2 linked regions of the Drosophila melanogaster genome follow. The protein of the gene in region 2 purifies or fractionates together with the protein of the main gene of each other region. This does not show direct contact. Each region holds a gene or a part of one and is shown on either strand. Other genes may lie near its edges.

Region 1 (3,755 bases), on a different chromosome or scaffold from region 2:
CGATGGCCAACAGTCGCTGCTCCTCCAGATTCAAAGCCTGATTACGCTCATCCACCTTGGGGCAGATGAAGATACGGCAAGTACCCGTTCGTCTGGCTCCATTATTGGTCACATTGAATGTATAAGTGAAGGGGGCATTCTGGAGATGGGTGAACGAGGCGAATATGTTGCGATCGGTCGTTGGTCCAAAGTCCAGGCCAGCTGCCAAGTCGGCACTCGACTTCTGCCAGTAGGTCAACAGGGTGTTGGCCTTGGTATTGGACTTGCCAATCTTGGCCTCAATGTAGTCCACGGTAATACCATCGAAGTTAAGCTCACCGGCATTGTACGGGTTCAGGCGAGTCTTGAATTTGTTGAACACCGTGTCGATGAATCCGTGCCACCTGTAGAAGATTGGATCCCTCATGGCCGTGGTCACATCGCCCATCACACCGAATTCCTCCAAGTGACGGTAATCGGGATCGTGGGCAAAGGAGATTATGTTGTGCCCCTCGTTGTGTAGATTGCCATAGAAATTATAGTTGATGGATAGGACTGGCGATGCCTCAATCATGTTGCCCAGGATATCGATGCCACGAACTTCGTCCAATGGTATACGATTGCCAGAAGACTATGGATTAGCAAATAAAAATTTCTAGTGCTTTCTATGACCTATGCTCAATATTCCAAACGGGCCCAACTCACATCTTCAACGTATCCTTGATCTATGGCAGCCAGCACGCGATCACGCCAGCGCTCCACATCGGAGATCTCCACACGCCCATCATGGCGGTCCACGTCCCTCAGCTTTTGGTTGGTCACTCGGGCGGGATAGGTGCGGTTATTCGTGCTGGACAGGATCTTGGGGAAGTAGCCCTCGGGAACCTCCACACGCAGATTGTTCAGCGGCTGAACCTTCTTCAGATTGTTGCAGAAGCGCTCCACATTGTAGCGCGCGAGTATCTGGTGGTGCATGTAGTAGAAGAGCTCGCCACGACGATCCTTGTTGACCACCTCCGTGGGTCCGGTGGTCGGGTAGACCAAGTGCCAGTGCCAATGATGGCTATTAACACCGATGTCCTCACGGAAGTACGCCAGGCGCTGTTCATCCTCGCGATCCGAGGCCGTGTAGTTTTGCGGAATGTCCACATGGACACGAGCGCCGCTCTCTCCAATAACAGAAGCTTCCTGACGGGCATCCTGTGGTCAAATTTATAAATACACCATTAAAGACTTTGATTGGTCAAATAAAGAAGAACTTAAACGAACCCGGAAGGCGGAAGGTTCTACAAAGTTGCTCGGAAAGATCTGGGAAATGTTGGTAATGGGCACTTCACGCGTATCCGGGCGATGGGCAACGGCGACGGCATAGGCGTATTGGAACAACACAGGATTCACACGATCCCTAAAAAATTAATACATTATACAATACATATATATTTATTTTAGTACAAGTACTTACTTGGTGTAAACGGAAAGCGACACGAATTGTCTGAGATTTGGTGCGCTCATGAAGAGGGTGATCAGCTCGCTGGCGATCTCACGATGGCGATTGTTAAACAGCGAAAATTGATTCTTGAGACCAATCTTTTTGGTGAACTCCAGACTGGGAACGTTGCTCAACTCCTGAATTGGGATCTTCAGATCCACGTCCTTAGAGAATCGATTGCCCACCTCCTCGGTGTCATTGCGATAGCGATCCGTATAGAAGGAATCGGGCAGTTCCAATACAGTTTTTCCGGAGTCACGAGTGGTGAATGCCGGTTCCAGGGGTCGCTGGAACATAAGTTCCAAGGCTTTCAGATCCGTGTTAGTCATGGTTTTCTCTATGGATGTACACTTTCAACTACACTTTTAACTTCACTCAACGAAGCCAGTTGCAGAACTGTGATTTTCCCAGGAAGCCGAACTCATTTTATAGCTAACTAGCAGTCCGAATATAAAAATAATATTTTTAAAAATATTCATTATCAAGTCCCAACCGCAAAACTGCAATGGTCGAGCCTTTTTTCTCACAAATCCAAACGTTGTGGTTTAGTCGATAGCTTCTGAAAAAGCAAAAAGTGCAATACCGCAAAAGTTGTTGAGCCGCAAAATGATAAGAGAAATACTTTTAATTGCTTGCATAAAATAATATACCATTGTTGATTTTCAGTTGAATGTTGTTAAACGTGAAACTGTATTGAGCTTGTTAGATACATATACTGATTTTTTTTCAATACTGCACTGCCTAATGTATACCCACAACCAATTAATTGTTTTCAACTTTTTGAAGAGTTATTAGTTCCGGGGTAGGAAGCTTAAATTGAATTTCTTTGTCTTTGCCGAAAAAGTATCCGAGAAACCTTTTTGCGACCACGCGAAATACAACTCCCAAAGTAAACAAGCCGAAGGCCACCGGAAAAGCTTCTTATTCGCATAGAAATAACACCGAATACTTGCTCAACAGGCTGCCACGCCCCCTTAAAAAGAACCGCCCATCGCCGAATGGGAGGCCATAAATTTGGCTTGGAGCAGAGGGCTCGTCCTTCGACATGGCCCATAAATTTGGTTTTTGAAATGGCAGTGTGTAGCTGAATGTAACTAAGAACTAACTGGCAAGAGAGCTTGGATGATTAAAATATCTATACTGTAAATCAATTTTTGTCGCTACGCCGTCTGGCCAAATGAACGATGTTGGCCAAAAAGCAAAGCGAATGGCCAAACTTTTGGCCATTGTCAATAATAAATGTTTCTGCCGACTTTGGCGTTGAAATGTGTGCGCATTAATCTGTGAAATTGACAGCAACAAAAACGAGCGTAACAAGTTTGCATAAATGTGCGGGTTTCGGGCGAAAATTGAAAAGATGAATTTTCACAATTTCTGCACTCTGGCCATAACAACATGAAAATGACTTTTCTGCTCGACTTTGTTTTGCTAATGTCGATGTTCCAGCAGATACACCATCTTTTCAGTTTATGAACTATGTACGGTAAGCAATGTAAGCCAAATTTGACTACCATCAATTGAATTTTTGTTTGAAATAACTTAGGCAAGAATATTTTATACGATTTTTTGTAGATTCTTTTAAACCATGCATACCACTTATGTATGTAATATAGTAATATATTGCAGAGTATATTGAAGTTGGCTTTTCCTAGAAAACACTTGACTGCACGCAAACATTTATCCGAGCAATGTAATTTTTCATTGAATATTCAACGACAGCCATGGCAAATGTGCTCCAGATTCCAGCCCAAAAGACAAACTTGCTTTAATTAATTATAAATTGTGGAAAAGTGTGTGCTTCTGCGAACTTGGCAGTGTGAATTGAATTAGAATGAAAATGGGCCAAAGCAAAAGCTTTAGGCCAGGACACGTGCAGAGCCTGCTTTCACCGGCGAAACAGAACAAAAAAAAAGGAAAAAACCCAAACTTTTACCAACAAGTCTTAAAAACCACGCAAGTTTGTAAAAGGCGCCAAGCACTCTTTCTGTTTGGCTTTATGGGCGAAAGTCTGGTCCATAAAATGAGCTGTGGGTATGCGTTAATTACCCGCTGGCTTAAATTTTACATTTTGGCTTAAGCACTCTGCGGCCAGGTTCGAAAACACATGATGCCTCCGCCCCAAAGAACATTCCAAACTATTCATTAGTTGTGGGCCAACCGCAGGAATTTGCGGCAGTGTGTTATCAAAATTTCGAGTGGGCTACGCTTTCAATTGTTTGCCCACTTGGGCACCAAACTGATTAAAGTTTCATGGCTCTAATCTGTTTGCAACTTATCAGCTCCATTA
Region 2 (3,755 bases):
GGCACGTTCACGGTGTTGGTCAGCTCAACCAGACGGTTGCCAATGATCTCGCCCAGACGCTCAATGTTCAGGGTGGCGTACTGCTCAAAGTCCTCGATGGCATTGCCCAGCTGAATCACAATCAGGTCTCCGGTCTTGGTATCATCCTGTTCACCGTTCTGCTTCCTGCGCTGCGTTTGCTGCTCCTCGCTGGAACTCCTCTGGCTCTGCTCCTCGTTGGAGTAGTCGGTGGTCTCATAGGGCTGGAGGTTGTAACGCTGCTGGTAGGCCTGCACCAGCTTCCTGGTAGCCTTCTGCACTTGGGTGTTGGTCTCGGGCAGGCCCTGGATGAAGATGGTGACCTCATCGTCGCCGAACTTCTGCTGGCGCTTAACCTTCTCCACCAAAGTGTTCAGGTTGAACTCGATCTTCTGGCCGCGCTCGCCGACAATGTAGCCCCTGATCTGGCTGGGTTCCGGGGTGTAATCGGGCTTGAAGACATGGTTGAACTGGGACAGATGGTCTGCGGGATAGGATAGTGCGTGTAAATATAACATGATTGGTAGAACTTTTAGAGATCCTTGAACTTACAGAGCTTGTCCAACAGCGTAGCGCCCTCCTCCAGGCTCATCTCCTGCAGCTTCTTAAGGGTAACCTCCTTCAGGTTGGGCAGCTCCTCGACTTCACGTGGATTGACCCAGTTGCTGGGCTGCTCCACATTGTCCAGGGAGTTGGATCGGCGACCGGAACGGTTACCAGATTGGGGATTACCCATGGCGACCGCCAGAAGGCAGGCCATAACGCAAAGGGTGCGCAGAGGATTCATTGTGGCTTCCAAGTTCGACTTTTTCAGACACCGTACCAAATTGTACTGCATACCCACTGCTGCGACTCAATGCATTTTATACCCCTTGGAATCGGTAGTCTATACACACTATAATGCACGCGCCGGAAGCAATTGATTTCAGCAACCGATTTCTGGATCAGCACAAATGCATTGATTCGCAGCGTCAGTGATTTTGCAACACTTCTGATGAGCTCTAAAATTTCGTTCCCCTTTTTTTTTTTTTTTTTTGGTTATTAAGTATCCATCGGGTAACAGGTAATGGGAAACTTCTTTAACCAGCACTTTCATAACATAAACAAAAGGTGGTCTGGCCATTAAGGGGCTTGACAGTGGGGGCACGACTTGAACTCATGCACAGGTCAAGATAAAGCTTTTGTTTGAAAAAAATATTTGGCAATTTTGTGAAATTTATGCAACTATTTAAGTGTTTGCCAAAAGAATTGTCTAAATTGTTCTATAAGCAGATAGCACTTTCAGGGAAATGCAAAATAAATATATTATAAATTATAATATTATAAATATAAATATTTACATCTATCGAAATATACATATATTTTTAATAAGTAGAATGAGTTACATGAAATAGCATCGATAAGATCATATATTATAAAACGAATCCCGGATATTAAAATAGAATCTCCTTGAAAAACGTTCCCCTGAATCAATTCATTTCTAAAGTCCAAAAACAAATATAATCTTACTATCTTGCCTTGGAAACTACAAACATTCCATACTTTTCGTATCAATGGCAAACATCTAGGAATCAATGAACTGTATCGGCCTTGAATTGAAAATGCAAAATTATGGACTTTTAATTAAGCAGAAGAAAAGTGCCAAATATAAATCTACTTATAAACAAAAAAAATCAATAAAATGTTGTATATAATAACCAACTAATGCCCATGTTAGATCTATATTTTATGCATTTATTTGATCAAATCCGGTGCACAACTACAATGTTGCAATCAGCGGAGCCTACAAAGTGATTACAAATTAAAATAATCAGGCGGCAGCAGGTGCTGCTAAGTCATCAGTGGGGTCAGCTATAGGTAGGCCCCGTGTCTATTTTGTATGTATACAATTTATTCCGCTATCGATAGCATATACACTCATCCGATTCCCAGGCACCCGAAAACCCTTACTCAGCACAAGTGACCGATTAAGGCCTGAGCCAGCGAAAAGCGAGTCAGAAAATGGGAAATCGCTCAGCGCAAATTGTGGTATATAAACCACCATCGTTGGATTTGGAAGGCCAGTTCAACTCACTCAGTGTTGAAGTCGCATCCGCAGGACCAAATCCCAAATCCGAACCATGAACCCCATGAGAGTGCTGAGCCTTCTGGCTTGCTTGGCGGTCGCCGCCTTGGCCAAGCCCAATGGCCGTATGGACAACTCCGTCAACCAGGCATTGAAGCCGTCGCAGTGGCTCTCCGGATCCCAGCTGGAGGCCATTCCCGCCCTCGACGATTTCACCATTGAGCGTCTGGAGAACATGAACCTGGAGCGTGGCGCCGAGCTGCTGCAGCAAGTCTGTGAGTAATCCTAGATGCAGATAAAAAAAAAAAAAAAAAACATCGAATATTCTATGGAATATATATATCCTTTGTAGACCACCTGTCGCAGATCCACCACAACGTTGAGCCCAACTATGTGCCCAGCGGCATCCAGGTCTATGTGCCCAAGCCCAATGGTGACAAGACCGTTGCTCCCCTGAACGAGATGATCCAGCGCCTGAAGCAGAAGCAGAACTTTGGTGAGGATGAGGTGACCATCATTGTGACCGGACTGCCCCAGACCAGCGAGACCGTGAAGAAGGCGACCAGGAAGCTGGTTCAGGCTTACATGCAGCGCTACAATCTGCAGCAGCAGCGCCAGCACGGCAAGAACGGCAACCAGGACTACCAGGATCAGAGCAACGAACAGAGGAAGAACCAGAGGACCAGCAGCGAGGAGGACTACAGCGAGGAGGTTAAGAACGCCAAGACCCAAAGCGGCGACATCATTGTGATCGATTTGGGCTCCAAGCTGAACACCTATGAGCGTTATGCCATGCTCGACATTGAGAAGACCGGCGCCAAGATCGGCAAGTGGATCGTCCAGATGGTCAACGAGTTGGACATGCCCTTCGATACCATTCACCTGATTGGCCAGAATGTGGGTGCCCATGTTGCCGGTGCCGCTGCCCAGGAATTCACCCGTCTCACCGGACACAAGCTGCGCCGTGTCACCGGTCTGGATCCCTCCAAGATCGTGGCCAAGAGCAAGAACACCCTGACCGGTCTGGCTCGCGGTGATGCTGAATTCGTTGACGCCATCCACACCTCGGTCTACGGCATGGGCACCCCCATCCGCTCCGGTGATGTTGACTTCTATCCCAATGGACCTGCCGCCGGTGTTCCCGGAGCCAGCAACGTGGTGGAGGCCGCCATGCGTGCCACCCGCTACTTCGCCGAGTCCGTGCGTCCCGGAAACGAGAGGAGCTTCCCCGCCGTGCCAGCCAACTCCCTGCAGCAGTACAAGCAGAACGATGGATTCGGCAAGCGTGCCTACATGGGCATCGATACCGCTCACGATCTCGAGGGTGACTACATTCTGCAGGTGAACCCCAAGTCTCCTTTCGGCCGCAACGCACCCGCCCAGAAGCAGAGCAGCTACCACGGTGTCCACCAGGCGTGGAACACCAACCAGGACAGCAAGGACTACCAGTAAGGATGAGTCTGCTTACTCTGGACACCTGGAATGGCAACTACCAAACAACAAACAACCACCCAACCACACAAACACTGTAGTCCCTAAGTTGAACCCATATTGGCCCTTTTCTTGAGATTACCTAAACATTTAACGAGCACATCGCGAAATTCAGCAAATAAACGCTCGATAAAGAGCTTAAAAATATCTATTTTGTTTATCTTAAATCATTTAGGAACTA

The links. Proteins that work in one complex are often made in the same cells at the same time.
Region 1: the proteins of Yp1 (region 2) and PPO1 purify together in Drosophila melanogaster (affinity purification with mass spectrometry, with the first as the bait; one large-scale study listed by BioGRID). This does not show direct contact.

Annotation. Positions count from the first base shown.
Region 1 is NT_033778.4:17,888,104-17,891,858, forward strand, and holds the start of PPO1 (prophenoloxidase 1), read right to left. Parts: upstream 1,871-3,755; 5' UTR 1,798-1,870; coding exon 1,442-1,797; intron 1,385-1,441; coding exon 1,249-1,384; intron 1,180-1,248; coding exon 685-1,179; intron 611-684; coding exon 1-610.
Region 2 is NC_004354.4:10,051,779-10,055,533, forward strand, and holds Yp1 (yolk protein 1), read left to right. Parts: upstream 1-2,032; 5' UTR 2,033-2,138; coding exon 2,139-2,358; intron 2,359-2,435; coding exon 2,436-3,535; 3' UTR 3,536-3,720; downstream 3,721-3,755. Other genes in the region: Yp2 (yolk protein 2), read right to left, coding at 1-502, 571-805. UniProt on the Drosophila melanogaster protein: Vitellogenin is the major yolk protein of eggs where it is used as a food source during embryogenesis. Along with Yp2 and Yp3, and their receptor yl/yolkless, required for maintenance of microtubule plus-end orientation towards the posterior pole of oocytes.